Bombyx mori: one gene and its partners. The protein of the gene in region 2 binds, or shares a complex with, the protein of the main gene of each other region. Links are inferred from orthologs where the notes say so. Each region holds a gene or a part of one and is shown on either strand. Other genes may lie near its edges. The genes, in order: protein CASC3, eIF4AIII, pre-mRNA-splicing factor CWC22 homolog and Y14.

The links.
Region 1: the proteins of eIF4AIII (region 2) and protein CASC3 are in contact, whole or in part, in a crystal structure (PDB 2J0U), measured with the Homo sapiens proteins. The link is inferred for Bombyx mori from reciprocal best matches to the Homo sapiens genes EIF4A3 and CASC3. Residues at the interface, in NP_055555.1 of Homo sapiens: Thr178, Arg179, Lys198, Ile201, Tyr202, Tyr205, Arg206, Tyr207, Leu208, Pro209, Pro210, Thr212, Lys231, Phe232; in NP_031385.2 of Homo sapiens: Arg217, Trp218, Glu219, His220, Asp221, Lys222, Phe223, Glu225.
Region 3: the proteins of eIF4AIII (region 2) and pre-mRNA-splicing factor CWC22 homolog are in contact, whole or in part, in a crystal structure (PDB 4C9B), measured with the Homo sapiens proteins. The link is inferred for Bombyx mori from reciprocal best matches to the Homo sapiens genes EIF4A3 and CWC22. Residues at the interface, in NP_055555.1 of Homo sapiens: Met43, Gly44, Ile72, Ile73, Lys74, Gly75, Gln98, Cys99, Met183, Gln213, Val256, Ala257, Glu259, Trp263, Asp266, Thr267, Asp270, Leu271, Tyr272, Asp273, Thr274, Leu275, Thr276, Ile277, Thr278, Gln279, Ala300, Asn301, Phe302, Thr303; in NP_001362958.1 of Homo sapiens: Thr129, Gly130, Gly131, Ala132, Tyr133, Pro135, Pro136, Ala137, Lys138, Arg140, Lys164, Asn167, Gly168, Ile170, Asn171, Lys172, Val173, Asn174, Ser176, Asn177, Ile180, Ile181, Glu184, Ala207, Ser208, Ile210, Phe211, Tyr215, Lys330, Arg331.
Region 4: eIF4AIII (region 2) and Y14 share a complex: the UniProt entries of both Homo sapiens proteins name them as parts of the ALYREF/THOC4-EJC-RNA complex. The link is inferred for Bombyx mori from reciprocal best matches to the Homo sapiens genes EIF4A3 and RBM8A.

Annotation. Positions count from the first base shown.
Region 1 is NC_085126.1:2,182,109-2,186,267, reverse strand, and holds part of protein CASC3, read left to right. Parts: intron 1-469; coding exon 470-703; intron 704-1,954; coding exon 1,955-2,048; intron 2,049-2,515; coding exon 2,516-2,612; intron 2,613-3,975; coding exon 3,976-4,137; intron 4,138-4,159. UniProt on the Homo sapiens protein: Required for pre-mRNA splicing as component of the spliceosome. Core component of the splicing-dependent multiprotein exon junction complex (EJC) deposited at splice junctions on mRNAs.
Region 2 is NC_085131.1:3,885,128-3,889,837, forward strand, and holds the start of eIF4AIII (eukaryotic initiation factor 4A-III), read left to right. Parts: upstream 1-1,656; 5' UTR 1,657-1,777; coding exon 1,778-1,928; intron 1,929-2,213; coding exon 2,214-2,549; intron 2,550-2,886; coding exon 2,887-3,109; intron 3,110-3,977; coding exon 3,978-4,232; intron 4,233-4,710. Other genes in the region: protein hairless, read right to left, coding at 1-83. UniProt on the Homo sapiens protein: ATP-dependent RNA helicase. Involved in pre-mRNA splicing as component of the spliceosome. Core component of the splicing-dependent multiprotein exon junction complex (EJC) deposited at splice junctions on mRNAs.
Region 3 is NC_085110.1:1,337,527-1,342,331, forward strand, and holds the start of pre-mRNA-splicing factor CWC22 homolog, read right to left. Parts: upstream 3,249-4,805; 5' UTR 3,020-3,248; coding exon 1,972-3,019; intron 1,449-1,971; coding exon 791-1,448; intron 1-790. UniProt on the Homo sapiens protein: Required for pre-mRNA splicing as component of the spliceosome. As a component of the minor spliceosome, involved in the splicing of U12-type introns in pre-mRNAs. Promotes exon-junction complex (EJC) assembly.
Region 4 is NC_085108.1:4,111,664-4,116,286, reverse strand, and holds the start of Y14 (RNA binding motif protein Y14), read left to right. Parts: upstream 1-1,586; 5' UTR 1,587-1,724; coding exon 1,725-1,785; intron 1,786-2,465; coding exon 2,466-2,568; intron 2,569-2,720; coding exon 2,721-2,838; intron 2,839-3,871; coding exon 3,872-3,985; intron 3,986-4,623. Other genes in the region: uncharacterized protein LOC101745843, read right to left, coding at 1-296.

The DNA of each region.
Region 1 (4,159 bases), on a different chromosome or scaffold from region 2:
TTGGTGTTTCTTCAGGTTTTAATGTGTAATAACGGTGGTTTATTAGCTGCTTAGTATCTGTGAAAGTGCACAAATGTGGGAAAATAAAACAAAGCCGCTGGACGTAAATTCTCGACATCCTCCCGATCCATTAACGGTGCTTTTAGGCACCACAAGCACCGGTCACCGTCCTCTTCCAACCTGTCGCTTGCGACGAAGGGCTCGACGAGCGAATTAACCCACAGACACAGCTCACTGAGTTTCCGATCCGGTGGTGGACTCTGCGAAGCACTGCTCTTGCTAGGGCCAGTGTTCGCAACACTCCGGTTTGAGCCCTGTGAGCTCACCTACACACGTTAGGGCGAAGCTGACATAGCCTCTCAAGGCTATCAGGTAGGAAAAAAAAATGCAAACTAGCGCTATCCTCGTAGTGCTACTAGCCGCATAATGCGTCGGTACCCTAATGGTTGTGCATTGGTCCGTGTAACAGGAGGAAGGTTCGCGCCCCCCGGCCTCGGTCCAAGTCGCAGCCGGCGGCGGGCGAGTCCCCGGAGCGCGCCGCCCAGCTCCGCCGGAACGCCTCCATCAAAACCGCGAAGCCCAAGCCGCCGTTCACAAAGACGACGCCCCCGAAGAACCTGAAGCCGCAGGACAAGAAATTACCGGCGCTCGAAACTTTGACAATCACCGCTCCGGCGAATAATAACAATAACAACAATAACAGGTGAGGATTCGTTTTGTATTGGGTGCGTTGGATTCGAGCATTATTAGTACTGTTGCCACGGTAATCACTAATCATTTTAAAATTTTGAGATTCTCAGATATTGTCGTAAATATAAGAATATAATACTTGGTGGCAAACACGCGAGATGAGATGTCCTACGTTTTTCTCGCGGTGCACATACTCATAAAAAAAACAATTTAACTGTTTTTTAATTTTAACTAAAATACTACTAATTAAATAAGAACTGTCTGATGAACTCATCTTTGTTTAATACTTCACTATTAAATTTTATTGCCTTTTGTATATTTCACTTTTACACTAAACACAATATTGCAAATTACCTGAGCACAACAATGGCGGAGAATTTTTGGTGTGTGAGAGCAGACGTAGACACTAACGCGCTTGCGCACTTGTCAGTACCCAGGGAGAAAAAGTTAAACTTTCTTCCCTGTACAGAGGGACGACAAGTTACACTTTCTTCTCTGTACAGAGGGACGAAAAGTTACACTTTCTTCCCTGTACAGAGGGATGAAAAGTTACGCTTTCTTCCCTGTACAGAGGGATGAAAAGTTACACTTTCTTCCCTGTACAGAGGGACGAAAAGTTACACTTTCTTCCCTGTACAGAGGGACGAAAAGTTACACTTTCTTCCCTGTACAGAGGGACGAAAAGTTACACTTTCTTCCCTGTACAGAGGGACGAAAAGTTACACTTTCTTCCCTGTACAGCGGGACGAAAAATTACACTTTCTTCCCTGTACAGAGGGACGAAAAGTTACACTTTCTTCCCTGTACAGCGGGACGAAAAGTTACACTTTCTTCCCTGTACAGAGGGACAAAAGTTACACTTTCTTCCCTGTACAGAGGGACGAAAAGTTACACTTTCTTCCCTGTACAGAGGGACGAAAAGTTACACTTTCTTCCCTGTACAGCGGGACGAAAAATTACACTTTCTTCCCTGTACAGAGGGACGAAAAGTTACACTTTCTTCCCTGTACAGCGGGACGAAAAGTTACACTTTCTTCCCTGTACAGAGGGACGAAAAGTTACACTTTCTTCCCTGTACAGCGGGTGGAAAACCGAACTTTCGGTGTCGGTAGGAGAAAAAAACTGTTTGAAGAAAGTGTAACAATTACAACAGTAGAATTTTTTTCTTCTAAGTGCCTGCTGCAAAGGCTATTATTAATCAGTAGTCCCTCGATCTTGCTTGATAAAGCATGATATATTCAGTTGCTTGATTTACAATTTTCAGCCAAGGTCAGTCGCAGCGGAAGGTGAGCGCTATGGTGGCGCAGCAGCGGCCAGTGCCCACGGACATCAACAAGAAGAAGCCGCTTCCCGGCCAGGTATATCGTACAATAATTGTCATCTTTGTCATAAGCATCGCTTCGTTTGCGCTAGGGGCGCTGTTCGAATTAGATACAGATTTGAGTTCGATAGATCGATTTAATCTTATCTTATCTTATCTTATCTTATCTTATCTTATCTTATATATCTATATATATATATAAATGAATTGCAGTTCGTTAGTCTCGCTAAAACTCGAATACGGCTGGACCAATTTGCCTAATTTTGGTCTTAAATTATTTGTGGAAGTCCAAGGAAGGTTTAAAAGGTAGATAAATATGAAAACACTCGGAATTAAATAAAAATAACAATTTTGTTTTTCCTTTGGTGTGTCCCCCGTCGAACGGATTCCTTTTGTTTGTTTTAAGTTTATTTTATACAAAAGTTTAGGTCTTTTATTTCTCGATTGATGCACTACGAAGTCTGCCGGATCAGCTAGTTATCGATAAAAAATGCTTCTCCCCAGAACCAGCAGCCCTCGAGTCCAGCCCCCAACAAGTCGCCGCCCCTGCAAACGAAACCACAGAACCAGACCTCTCACCCTCACCCGCAACAGACCACTGGTAACTATGAAACAAAACGTATAGCTTTCAAATGCCTAACAATTTTCCACAATACATCAATTATGAAAACTAAACATTTAAAATTATTATTAAAAAAAAGAACATAATATTTCTAACCTAAAAGTACATGTTATTATCCGCAACACGCTTCGTCAGATTACAGAAATAGAGTTATCAGCAACATGCTTCGTCAAAAAGTACAATACTTACTTTCAGCTGCAAGCGTCGTCATAAGTAACATATAACATTTAAATATTGAAGACAAGAGTGGATGAAGAGATCAAGTATCATTTTTAAGATTTTTGAGTTTCTAAATTGAATAAAGGTGTTATGTGCATATATTAGACCATATTAGACCTTAAAACTTCAGGCATAAAAGTTTTAGAAATTGCAAGTGACGAAGGAGTTATGTGCGAAGAAAAGTGCAAGCAACAAAAGTTTGTTGCCCGCTTTCTCAAAATTAACAAATTGTATCATATCCCCTTCATCCACTCATGTCTTCAATTATTTTTGATTATTGCTATTTTTTTCGCGGAATAAAATATTTTTAATTTTTTCTGTTTATCTCTAAGCTTGGCAGGAATTGTATGCTTGTGAGCGAGTATTTCAATTGATTAATACGTGAAGCAAAAACTTTGTATCCCTTTTTACGAAAATTGCGCGGACGAAGGAGTATGAAATTTCCCACACTTATAGAGAATATAGAGGAGTGCAGAATGCTGATATTTTTAAAAAAATATGCATTTATAATACATTAAATCAATAAAAAAACATTACACACACTACCATGTATTTAACATACACGCATAATATATAAACGCTTTGTTTATTGTTTATAGTGTAGTTTTGGCGAAACCTGTAATTATAGAAGTATAATAAAATATAGTCTTTGATAATGGAACCATAATAATGTTCAAACTTACTGGTGGTAGGACCTCTTGTGGGTCCGCGCGGGTGGGTACCACCGCCCGGCCCATTTTTGCCGTGAAGCAGTAATGCGTTTCGGTTTGAAGGGTGGAGCAGCCGTTGTAGCTATACTTGAGACCTTAGAACTTATATCTCAAGATCGGTGACGCATTTACGTCATAGTTGTCTATGGGCTCCAGTAACCACTTAATACCAGGTGGGCTGTGAGCTCTTCCACCCATCTAAGCAAAAAAAAAATATCTTCAATTATTTTTCATTTTTGCTATTTTTTTGCGGAATAAAAATAATTTTTTTTGTCTGTTTATCTCTTTAAGTTCGGCCAGAGTTGTATGCTTGTCAGCGAGTATTTTAATTGATAGTACAGCTTCATTAATACTGCCTAGAATGAGCAGAAGACTAGAGAAAGTGTCATTATATTTCTGAACTGTTGGAACAGGCGCCGAGCCCCGCGGCGGCAGCAAGCGCTACAGCAGCCTGCGGCAGCGCCCCCTCGCTGAGCCCTACACGCCCCAACCGCAGCCGCAGACGCAGACCCAGACCCCTGTCCAGACCTCTAGTCCGGGGGCAGCGCAGACCCAGCAACCGCACAGATATGCCGGTGCGTAGGGCGAGCCACTATC
Region 2 (4,710 bases):
TTCACGCCATGTCTTCTGTCTACTTCCTCTGTCATTTTGGTACATGTTGTCAGGGTTGTGTTGGTTCCTTCCTGTATATGCATTTCATTTCTGACCGCTCAAACAGCGCGTCGACACATTAGTCCGAATTTTTTCGCCATGACGTACACGAACATGGATAGACCGACACATCAAACACTCGCGAATTACGGTCGACATGAAACATTTCCTTGGAAATCCTCATCTTATGACCACCTGCGGGCTGTGGGCTCGCCCAGAATCCCGTAATAAAAACACATTACCGACACAGTGACTACTGATTTCAACAATAAGCAAAGTGACTGCAAAGGAAAGAAATCTGATTTGCTCACTGTTTAAAATTTTAAATTCATACCCCTACGTAGGAATTTTATCATCAATCGAACCCGCGACACAATTTATTGAAAAGCTGTTGGTTTCAGTATACAGTTCATTCACACCCAGCATCCATTTTGATTCGTTCAAAATCAAATACGGTCGTTCTTTTGGCCACAAATTAAAACGAAATTCCTTCGACCAGTTCGACCTCTGAACGAATGCGTTGTTAATTGCGTTTTGTTTCGACCCAGTCGAAAAAATGTTTAGATCTCAAATTAATCTTGTAAAGCACAGTTAACAATTTCAACAGTTAAATTATAGAATCATATAATACATGTATTTTTAAAATTTGTAGCCGCATTATATCTTTTGCTGGTTACGCTCTAAAACTTTCTTTTTTTAACGTTTCTTCTTTCGCGTTTTGTATCACGTTTTTTTTACTTTGTGTATAATCTATAGCCGTTTTATTTCTTTTCCATTTTAGATTGTTACCTGTGACTCTTGAAACCACAGACTATCTACAAATCAACATTATTAATTTATTTTAGTAAGGGGTTTCGTCAGTAGCTATGAGCCCCCGCGTCGTCGCCTTTCAGTACTATAAACAATCACATTATTTTCGGATGAGTTCTTACCATCACTCCGGTTATCGCGGCTTAAGAATACATGAATAAATAATAATTAAAAAAAACTAAAATACACGTTTTTATAGAAAATCGTGAGATGCGCGGCGTCAATAGTTTAAATATTTTATTGACAGAAATTGCTAGCTAAGTCTTATCATTTTGATAATCTCATAAAAAGCATCCCACGCTTTTTTTTAAATAAATTTATTGTGATGTGTGGGAAGTAACGTTGTTGCACACTACATTATTTTCCATTTTTTAGTTGGATTTTCTATAAAAACATGTATTTTAGTTTTTTTAAACTATTATGTATTTTTCATTTTTTAGTTTACTTATTATCTATCATAAATTATTCTTTAATGTGCATTCAGGCAAATAAAACAGTTTCCAAATTTTCTAAGTGAAGAAAAGAAGGCGCAAAAATTAATTTGTTGTTTTGACTGCCGAAATTAAATAACGAGTCTACTGTTTAAAATATTGAATTATCATCGGTCCTTAATACCTAAGTATGCCAAATTTCAAGTTAATCTGACATTTTGAAGGTGGTCAAAATCATATTCAAAGATTCCGTTACATACCTACATAGGTATGGAGCTAATAAAAGCGTAATAATCACTTAATAGTCTATGGATCTTATGTATGAAATGTATTATCTATCTTATGGAATTAAATTCATTATCTATGGTGTTATCTATGGTTATGGACACAGTTTCTTAAGTTTCCCTTTAGTAATTTAGAAATTCAGATTCTAAGAGATTTTCACCTATCGTATAACTTGTTATTTTAAAAACTTAGAAGCGAACTAGATTCGAAAAATGACATCGTCTGAAGTATCGTCCAATAGAAAAATATTGTCGGAAGATTTGTCGAATGTTGAGTTCGACACGAGTGAAGATGTCGAAGTTATTCCCACTTTTGACTCCATGGGACTTCGAGATGAGTTATTGCGAGGAATATACACATATGGTTAGTACAAATTGTGGTGTTATTTATAATTATTACAACTGCCTACATAAACGATCATGTGGGCATTATCTTACCAGCTTTAGACCGTATTATGGTCGTCCGTCTGTCAGACTGTCGTCCTGTTTTTTCGCAACAGTTCTGCGTTCCGGCTTCGAAGAGTGACATACTAATTTACAATACATTTAAAATCAATCGCACTGTTAAACCTTGGGGGCTGGTAGATTCCGTATTGTGGTGTATGTGGGGTCCGGTAACCACTTAGTAATAACTAACGTTAATTTACAGGTTTCGAAAAACCTTCAGCAATTCAGCAGAGAAGCATCTTGCCTATAGTCAAAGGCAGAGATGTAATAGCTCAAGCACAATCTGGTACAGGAAAGACTGCGACATTCTCAATTTCAATACTACAGACTTTAGACACGACTCTGCGTGAAACTCAAGTACTTATTCTTTCACCGACCCGTGAACTGGCTACTCAGATTCAGAAAGTGATATTAGCTCTTGGAGATTTCATGAACGTTCAATGTCATGCTTGTATTGGAGGTACCAATCTTGGAGAAGATATAAGGAAATTGGATTACGGACAGCATGTTGTGTCTGGCACACCTGGCAGAGTTTTTGGTAAATAAATGAAAATTGCTAATCCAAGTAAATAAGTACTAATTGTTTTAGTTTCCAAAACCAAAGATAAACCTTCTGTGATCTTTTTTGTTATCTGGCTGGTTCACCTTTTTTATTTCTTGAAAGTAGTAACTTAACTTCCACTTCTCAAATTCACCAACAGTACTACTCACTACAGTAGTCTCACCACAAACCCATGTGTATGGTTTCAGGCATCTCAGAACAGGGATGGTGTCTATAAATTGTCATCCTTGTGCAATAATTGAAAAAGTTAAATAATCTATCCACTGCAAGATGTAGGGTGCCCTAGATTATAAGAAAACAATCTTATTTTCAGATATGATCAGAAGGCGTGTGTTGAGAACCCGGTCAATAAAGATGCTGGTTCTTGATGAGGCTGATGAGATGTTGAACAAAGGTTTCAAAGAGCAAATTTATGATGTATACCGCTATCTGCCTCCTGCAACTCAGGTTGTGCTAATATCAGCAACACTACCCCATGAGATATTGGAAATGACATCAAAGTTTATGACTGATCCAATAAGGATATTAGTAAAACGGTTTGTATGATTATTTCAAAAATACACATTAAAGTTCGAATTCTGCAGGCAAGTACTAATTTTTCTAATGAAATACGTACTTCACAATTGTTCACGATTAACTTCCATAGTGAAGGAATAACATCTTATAATAAAAATCAAACATGTAAAATTATAATTTGCGTAATTACTGGTGGTAGGTGGTAGGAATGTCTTGTAAGTCCGCACGGGTAGGTACCACGATCCTGTCTATTTTTGCTGGGACGCAGTAATGTGTTTTGGTTTGAACGGTGGGTCAGCTGTTGTACTGTAAAATGCGAGACACTAGAACTCATGTCATTTTATTTTTTTAGTGTCCTTGTAGGCAGACTAGCATACCACCCACCTGATGGTGAGTGGTGACAATCGCCCATGGAATTCAGTACAGCAAAGCTGTTCTAGGTGTCTATGGACTCTGGTAACCACTTAACACCATTAACACCGTGGGCCTTGAACTCATCCACCCACTAAGTTAAATGAAATATTTGTTTTATATTGCCCTTGAAGGAATTTGTCCACCTGATAGTGAGTGATTACTGCCGCCTATGGACACTAGTGACGCTAAGGGTTATTTGCCTGATATCTCATTTGAATAAAATTATGTCACAGTACTCAGGAAACACTAGAGGAGATTTAGATTAAGAAAAGAAGTTACATTAAGTGTAGAAAACTATCTGTTTTATTTTAGCATTATCAACTATACTATTTCTAGGATGAAGCTTATTTCTGTATGGACTATCATTTTGTTAATTGCTCAACACATAAACCTATGCAAGCTAAATAGTAATTAAGTAAACAAATTTTCTATCATGGTAAATGTATTTGAAATTAAGAATCATTTTTTCTACAGTGATGAGTTGACACTGGAGGGTATCAAACAGTTCTTCGTGGCAGTTGAACGAGAAGAATGGAAGTTTGACACACTTTGTGACCTCTATGATACACTGACAATTACCCAAGCAGTAATATTTTGTAATACAAAGAGGAAGGTTGACTGGCTCACACAGAAGATGCAAGAGGCAAACTTCACTGTCAGTTCAATGCATGGTGACATGCCACAGAAAGAGAGAGACAACATTATGAAGGAATTTCGTTCTGGTCAAAGGTAATGGAAATTCTATTAAAATAAAAACAATACGATCTTGAAGACTTTTAGTTTTCAAGATCTAAATGTGAATGGTTTCGAATTTCGTGAACTAATATCACTAGTGATTTAATATGAAAAATACAATTGCTCTTTTTTTTTTAATGTAAACGAGATATGGATCACCTTTACAGACAGCATTTATGTAATAATGCCTCTGGGCTTTTGTTGAGTGTTGGATGGGCTAGTGCTTAATGTCTAATATCTAATTTATAGTGTTATATAGTATGTAATAGATGACTATGTCTAGAAGTTATAGCAACTACAACCTCAATTCAGTTTTGAATAGTTATTGGTTTAGGTTATCACTCAATATATTGGTCAGTTTTTTAGAGGAACCATATTTTTCATGGTTCCATTATTATTCATTTGTTTCTATACTAAGCTTAAGGCCAACACTGGACAGGCATTATTCTTAAATCTCAATTATAGTTCTCTT
Region 3 (4,805 bases), on a different chromosome or scaffold from region 2:
TATGGGCTCCGGTAACCACTTCACACCAGATGGGATGTGAGCTACTAAAATGTTCACGAATAACAACTCTGTCGTCCGTAACCACGAAAACTGTTAGTATTCGAAAATAATCTATACATGTAAATAAAATTGGAGTGTCTGTTTGTAATATTGAAATAGCCTCTTTTTACTACATTCATATGAATATATACGGTAAAAATAACATTTTTTACAATTTTTGTCTGTATGTTTGTTCCAGCTTATCTCTGGGACGGTTGGACCGATTTTGCAGGGACTTTTACTGATAGGTAGCTGATGATATAAGGAGTAACTTATGTTACTTTTTTTAGACTAGCTTCGCCTCGCGGCTTCATCCGCGGTACGACAATAACCGCGGTTAACATCGCGGGGCTCAGCTATCAATAATAAAATTTAATGTTTCCGAAGCAAAGCGAGGGCAGTTCGCTAGTAATAAAGTTCGCAAGATTAAACCATAAAGATAGTTTTTGGTAAGCCGTAAACTTTGTTCACTGGTTCCGAAACCATCTCCTAACTCAAAAGAAAGGGTAAAGCTAGTATTAAATCACACCCATGAGCATAGCAATGTAGCAATTGTAGTTAAAATCAACATTCATTATTGTGAACCTCTCATAACAACTGTCATTGCTCTCAGCAATATATAATCGCTTGTCTGTGCCCTGAGCTATCCTTTCAAAGAGTTTCCACTGTCATTTGTCATATTTCCATTTGAAATTGAGGGTTTATTTATTATTATAAAACTAAAAAAACATCAAAACAAAGTAATACGAACGGATCTTGTAGACGGTCATTCAGTTTCTTTAGTCCCATGTATTCAGCCAGTTCTTGAAACAGAATCTTTATGTATATCCGACTAGAACTAGTTGTGTCTTCTTCGTTCAATTTAACACATTCCAAAGATTCCCAACTAATGGAATCTGTAAACAGCAGATGGGCGAAAAACTTGCTGACATTTCTGAGTCTATTCGTGTCCAACCTGTGTGCTGTTGAATATGAATCTTTGAAAATTTCCTCGAAAGGTCCGATGTATATTCTGTTGATGTTGCAAAACCTTTGGGCCAATAAGCCATAGAATTTCTCATATGTTCTCTGCTCAGCACAGCAGTCTAAGAACATGTGGCATAGTTCCACTTCTTGTCCTGGTTTCAGTTGCATCTTCATTAGTTTATGAGCACATTCTTCGAAATCTAAACTGGAGTTGATTGTCAGGTATATAGTGCGTCTCAGAGCCACTAAGTTTGTTTCTGTGTTATCAATAATAGTCATTTCTTTTTTTGGTTGTTCTTCATCTTCTTCATCAGATTCCTCACTACCGCTTTCTCCTGAACCATCTTCATCACCGGACTCAGCATCAGAACCAAGTATTTCCTTGCAAAGATTCTTGTACTTCTGTTCATTCTCTTCATACTTTTCATCAAATTTGAAAACATCTGAAGCATTTGGGAAAATTGTTATTTTTATTCTTTTATACTAATTTGCTTATTTTACATTTGTTTTAAATGGAGCATTAAGATAAATTGTTTATAACATTCAATAATGTTGGGCATAAATGAGTTAATACATACGATGGAAAATAAAAATAGGCTAAAATAATGGATATTGAATTCACTAACACAGAGTACTACTATCTTAAAACTTAAAGCAAAAAGTATATGAAAAAAAATTGAGATTGTTTAAGTTACATTTTTAAATAAGCTAAAAGCATTTTTATGTAAACTATATATAAAAATTTTTGATTAATCCTATTAAAAATTAAAACTTTACTCGTTTAGAGTGTTATATACACTCAAAACTTTTAGCATTTTAAGTGTTACAATAACTCTTGTGCATACCCTCAATAGCTATTAAATAACTTAGGGGAACAAATAATTCAATTGACAGACTGTACAGATAATCTACTTAAGTGTTTTATGGCTTATTTTTTTATGGATAGTTTAATAGAATATAACATACTCAGGATATCTTGAGGATCTGTAGCGTCATCCAGCATCAATAGATGTGTGAACTGTTCTTCTTCAGGCACGAGCTCCAACTCTTCAATCAGTGCCGGGTGGTCTTTGAACCCATCCTTCCAAACTTGGAACATTACTTCTATCATGTACTGAACTCTTTTGTCTAACTGACCTTCGTGCAAAATGTTCCTTAGCATCTCGAAAATTGCATTTACACCTTTAGATGATACTTCAGTCAATTTTTGGCCACATTCCTTTAAGAATGCTATGGCAACTTCAACTGAATCATCTGTTGGTGATTCAACTAGTAAAGTGAGAAGTTCTAAAGCCAGAATTTCATGTGCCACTCTCTGATTCACTAAATGTGCAATGAAAGATGCAGAGGAAATGCAAATTGACTTATCATTGCGTTTAAAACCTCTTTTGAATTGAATCACTAATCTTTTCAGTAACAACTCCCCGATATTAGGAAAACGTGAATTGACTGCTGATACTAGAGCCGCGTATACATTAGTGAATGTTGGCGAGGCTGCCTGGGCTTGAATAACAGAACGGCATAACAAACCTCGACCTCTGACAATGTTTTCTTTCAATAATTCCTTTATAATGATACCTATGTTACCGACATTAATTTTGTTGATGTGACCGTGAATTGACTTTTTGAGAGCTTCCCAGGCAAGTCTTTGGTAAGCTATCGAGGACTTATCCGTGATCTGCGCTTGCATCATCCTCAGTCTTGCTGGTGGAATGTATGCACCTCCTGTTCTAGTATTCAACATATCAGTATCTTTTGCGCGTCTTTCTGGCTTTGTAGAGGCATCTTTTTTTGTTTCTGGCTCTTTTTGTGTGTCTTTAACTCGTTTATCTTCCCTAGCCTTGTAATGAGGTGAGCGTGATTTGGAACGCCGGCGTTTACTTCTATACTCCCTATTCTGCTGTTCCTCAAGTGACTTAGATCTAGATCTAGCCCGTCTCGACCTTTTCGACCTACGCCTTTCATCATCTTCCTCGTATTTATCTTTCTTCTGCTTGGTGTTAGTCTTCTCCATTCTTATGATTTTTGTTTTGACACTACTAGACTACAATTGAACTTTTTATAAAAGAATTTAATACTGTATCTAGAACTCAATATTATTAAAACTATTCATTTTCAATATTATGTGTAAAATCATGAAATTTATTTCGATGAAAAAGTAGAACGTGCACTAAGTAAAATCCAGCTTGACCTTAATAAAACAGCCATTTTGTTTTGACATTTTTATTTTACTGTCATGTCAGTAGTAGTAGAGTAGTAGTAACTCCGTTTTCCAACTGAAAAGGTGAAGGTATCATACTATACGGCCTAATAAAGTAAAGTATTGTTTAAAAAAATTTAAATGAAGTTGTTTTTGCGACATTAATCAATTGAGATTTGAGATGACATTAAATGAAACGAAATGATATGAGATGAAATATAATATCAGTAAAATGGTGTTTATGTATTTGGACAAATTCAGTTAACTTTTTTAGATTATCCACTCTCGGCGCTGTTAGGTGCTAATTTAATGGATAATCCTAATGTTTGCAGCAAAGATTTTTTTTTCCTACCTAAGCTGATGTTCTAGAGAGATCATATCAGCGTCACCAGGCTAGTAGGTGAGCTCACGTTGCTCAAACCTGACGATGTTGCTAACACGAACCCTAGCAAGAGCAGTGCTGCGCAGAATCTACCACCGGATCGGAAACACGACCCACCGAAAAGATCTGGCGACAAACTCAGTGGGCTGTGTCTGTGGGTTAATTTATTCACCCAGTCCTTCGTCGCAAGCGAGGGGCTTGACGAGAACGATGACCGGTGCTTGGGGTACCTAAAAGCACCGTTAGTGGATCAGGAGGATCCGAGATGACGTATTTTGGGTGACGTCGAATGTTTACCATTTGGTCCGCAAGATCGGCAATGTAGTTATCGGCGGCCACGTTGAGAGGGTTCTCGTGTCGTCGGAGCCCATAGACACGTCATGATAATCGCCTTATCGTTGCCGCCGCTGATTACTCCCCGAATCCTGATCACGCAGGAGCAAGTCACCGTCGTCGCCCTAGACATGTCCTTACGGATCCATCAGATCCAATAACTCTTACATTAGATACCTTCAGCTCTAACACTAGGAGCAGGCTGAGGAACCCCGGTAACCGTACTCGTCGAACTCGACAAAGAGGTCGACGTGCAACCTAACCCATGCATCAGCTCGCTGAGTTTCTCACCGGATCTTCTCAGTGGGTCGCGATTCCGATCCGGTAGTAGATTCATTCGCGAAGCAATTGCTCTCGAGTTGTTAGGTCTCCTTCGGAGGCGCTCGGGTAGCTGTTAGCAAATCCCACCCCTCCTGGCTGAGCCTTTGCTCGCCCACCTGTCCTGGTGAAGCTGGAAAGGCCTCCGGGCCACCAGTAATCTTTCAATCATAAAAAAAAAACATTTACAACGTAAATGCGTCACCCACAAAGAAAAGCGGAAAGATTTCAAGAACAACGCCATAAGCAGCCACACTACAGCTATGCTCCGATAAGCACTGCCAGCATTGTAAGATGTGACGTCAATTTAATATACTGCGAAACTGTTCTTTTATAGTTAGCTATACTGGTCACTGTTTAAAACGGAACGTAATACAGTTTATTGTTATCGAAGATTTCTGTCGGTGTTTTCACTCTAACAAAAAATTATTGTTTAAATTTATTTATATTTGAAAAGAGAACATTCAAATTATTGTCGCTTAAATTAATCGCTTAATAAGACTCAGTATACTTTTTCATCATCATCATCATTCCTTCCTACTACCCTCTGCTGGGGTGTAGGGCTTG
Region 4 (4,623 bases), on a different chromosome or scaffold from region 2:
GCTACGTTTTTATTCAAAATATTGATGCCGAAAGCAAATTCTTCATCATCGAAAAAATCAAAAGGTTTCTCAATTTGTTCTGTTTGCTTAGTATGGTTGACAATATTAATTTTTGAGTCAATTAGATCATTATAATTATTAAATATAGTTTCACCAACTCTGCTGGGTGGAGGCGAAGAACGCGGGGTCGGAATGGATGATTTGAATTTCCATTCTGAGAAAAGAGAACTTTTAGTTTTTTTCGTTATTATCAATTTTTCATCCACATCGTTTTCTAATAAATTACAGTCACTCATGATTTTACTACTAATTTCATTTCAATGTATGCTAATAGACTGAAACTCTGAAAGTTAGTTTGACATTGATTATTATTTATTTGATTACTCTATTCTTTTTTATTTTCAGATGATAAAAAATTCACAAGCTTAAAGAGTATATTAAAATTTTAAAAATCGCATTTATTTCAACTAAAGAATTAAAAAGAAAGATCAAAAGTTAGAAGTTCTTTTCATATTTGAAATAATTTAATCATATTTTATGATTTTCGAATATCATTGAAAATTGCATTGTACTTAAAAGAAGTGAAAGTGATAAATATATATAATAATTAAGTAACAAATAGCGGAGGAACTGGGGATACCTATCAGCGACGCACTCCACCGGGCTGCAGGGCGGGATCGATGGAGACAGTTGGTTGACGAAATCGGACGGAGTCACGATCCTCAGCAGTGAGGAACCGATCGAAGAGAGAGAGAGAGAGAACAGTTTCATATTATTCGAGGAAATTTGTATGATGATTAATAAATGTATACATATAACATAATTTTTTTGGCAATCCTTCCCTTTTTTTGGTGGTTTTTTAATCATATTTATGAAAAAAAAAATTGACATTTTTTTTGAAGTAGATATCTATTTGTGCTATTTTTTTATTTTTTCCTACTTATTCTGATAGCCTTGAGAGGCTATTAAATTTCAGCTTCGCCATAACTTTATAAACTTGACAGTATAAAGGCGGACTTAATGCCATTTAAAATACAGTTCTATACAATACACTTCTATTATGTATATTATCTATTTTTGACGTTGATGTACGATTGTTGTGGGACTTTTTGACGGGAACGCGAGGAATGAAGTTTTGTGATCTGTTTTGTTTTGTCTATTTAGTGCTTCTTCGAGTTTAAAGGCGTAATAACGGTGGTTTATTATCTGTTTAGTAACTGTGTAAGTGCACAAATGTGTGAAAATGAAACAAAGCCGCCGAACGTAATTTCTCGGGATCTTCCAAAAAGTGCACTGAAAAAGTCTCACTAAATGTCCACCATTTTCCTGAGATTATATTTCATCCCATATCATCTCATCTCCTTTCATTTCATTTCGTTTTAATTTCCATTCAATTTAATTTCCTGCCATATTTCATATAAAAAAAGTTTTCATTAAAATTAAAATAAGTCTTGACCTAAAAGTCTTAGTTACCAGGTCATAAAGTCCTTTAAAAATGTGATTGTCGTATACATGTCTTATCTATGAATAATCTCTCAAATATAATAAGTGTATAATCTATGGAATAATCTATGGTGGTCGTGTTTGATGCGGAGTTTTCAAGATTAATTTGTGTAACTTTTTGATTTTTTAAACTCATATGGTCTCTAGATAAATACATCTTTATTAATTACATTTTATTTAAATTATTTACTACTTCTCATAACGTAAATCTACTATAAAACATGGCTGACGTGCTAGATATCGAAAATTCAGAAGAATTTGAAGTCGACGAAGATGGTGAACGTAAGTGGAACAATTGATATTATTAAAAATATTTTAATCAAATTTTGTTTCCTATTCATTATCTGTAAAGTCTGCTCGTAGCTTAAACAAGCAATTATGTGTGGACATAAAACGGGAAATGTTGTCTCAATTAAGGTTATAATTTCCGACTGAATTTTTTTTACATTTGTAATGTTATTATCGCCGGTCGACGTTAAACTTTCACCACTGGGTTTAATTTAAATGCACACATACAAAATGATGCACACCAGACTTGTTAAGACATATAAATCTAACATATAGATTGCTTGTTCCCCATTTTTTCATATTTCGTGCTTTAGGACATTACATTGGTGATTCTTACGTGTTTTATAATTATTCTTGCACTAAATTAAGCTTAAAGTAAACTAAAAATTGTAATGTTGTTGATTTCCAAAAATAACACATAATATACTGGTGGTAGGAGCTCTTGTGAGTCCGCGCGGGTGGGTACCACCACCCTGCCTATTTCTGCCGTAGCAGCCGGGCAGCCGTTGTATACTTGAGACCTTAGAACTTATATCTCAAGGTGGATGGCGCATTTACATTGTGGATGTCTATGGGCTCCAGTAACCACTAAACAACAGGTGGGCTGTGAGATCATGCACCCAACAATAAAAAAAAAATTTAGTGTAAAATTACAGTATTTAAAAATGTTACAGAGGGAATCGCTAGACTTAAGGAGAAGGCACGTAAGCGAAAAGGTCGTGGTTTTGGCAACGAAGCCGGTGGAGGCAGTGCTGCAGAACGGGGTAACCGCGGAAGGTAATACACAGATTTTGTCATTTTCCATTGTACTGAATAATAATATTTCTTGCTAATCAACAGAAGCTCTGTTTCCACTCTGGAAAAACCCACAACCGAACCAGGCTTAACATGTCCAACAGTGGCCAAAACTTTGTATTGTTTTGTTGCAGATACGACAGTTTAGCTCCGGAAGGCGATAGCGGTACACCAGGACCTCAGAGATCAGTTGAAGGCTGGATCCTGTTTGTCAGTAATGTACATGAAGAAGCACAAGAAGAAGATATACAGGCAATTAAAACTTCTTTTATTTATATTTAGAAGATAAAATTTCCACTTTGTATCTACTTGTAGCTACTGTTTGAGACACACCTTAATTTGAAATGGTTATAATTACAAAAAAACAATGTGAAAGATTAAAAGGTATATTCCTATTTAATTAATGTGAAATGTGAAATAGGTTAAGTCAAAGAAAAGATATTTTGTCATGTCAATGTATTTGTTGGTAAATAGACACGCATCAATAGGGACATTGACATATTCATAAAAATGTGAATGTAGCCACTTTGAAACATTAGTGTAAATCTGTGGAATAGTATTGATCAATAATAATATAATAATTTAATAGGACTATAGGTTTTTTTTATTGCCTTTCTAGGCAACATGCGAGCAGTAGACGAGCATATGGCCCACCTGATGGTAAGTGGTCAGCGTCGCTTATCGACGTCAGCAATGCGCCAGGGACAGAGCCAAGCCGCTGCCTACATTACTACATTGCCAATAAGATTAAATTATTATATGACCAATAGAATAAGTATGTAATACAAATCCTTTTTTTTTAATAAAAATATGTCAAGTTTTTCATAGAATATATGCAGACCACTATTACAAATTTTATTGAAGTTCTTTAGGCGCGTTGTGAAAAATTGATGAGAGTGAAATTTTACGATGCACGCGCACCGTGACACAAATTTAACAGAAATGAAGTTGCCCACTAAATCGCTCATTAAAATACGACCGCCGTAACTTGGAGAGTCTGAATATAGCCGCAGGTGAACTTTCGCGCATGTTCACTCGTAAAAAAAAGTGTGATTAGCATTTATTTTTTACTAATATAAATGACAAAATTATTTTTTAATATAATTCATACTAAATATTATTAAATTATTAACATTAAATATATTTATTTAACATCTAAAAAAAAATAAAAATTAATAAAAATAAAGTATAACTTCTTACGCGCGTACATAAGTACACGCACCCTTTTTTTATAAGGATCGGTGATTCGATCAGTGGAAACAATATTAGTTTGTTTTGTTGACAGAATCAATTTTCCGAGTTTGGTGAGATAAAGAATATTCATCTGAATCTGGACCGACGCACAGGCTTCCTCAAAGGCTACGCTCTAGTTGAGTACGAGACTTATAAACAAGCCGCTGTAAGTACTTAGTGCTACTGATTAATATAAGACTTACTGTGCTTTGGTATCCACTTTATACATACTGAATGATGACCGGTTTTTTTTGATAACGCCATCTTGTTGTGTCTTTAAAGCGGTTAGTTGCCCTCAATTAAGAAAAATAGTATTATTATTCGCCAATAGATGTCAGGAAGAGTTAATTTTTGAAAACACGAATAAAACAACATTTTCTCAAAATAAATCGTAGCTAGATCGATTTATCGTCCCCGAAATCCCCTGTATACTAAGTTATATGAAAATCGTTGGAGCCGTTTCCGAGATTCAAATTATATACATATATATTAATATACAAGAATTGCTCGTTTAAAGATATCCACTGTATACATCTTAAACTTCGTATGTATCTTTTTTAATTGCTTTGTTTGGATGAAAGAATTCACGGCCCGCTTGATTATAATGGTTACTGTAGTCCATAGACACCAACAATGAAAATACGCCATCTAACAGGTAACATGAGTTGAAACATGACTTCAAGTCGAACCATATTACTGCTTCACAGCAGACCTAGACGGGGCGATAGTACCTACCCATGCGAACTCACAACAAGCCCTATTACTAGTATTTATCCATATTATGATATTTTCAGATATGATTTT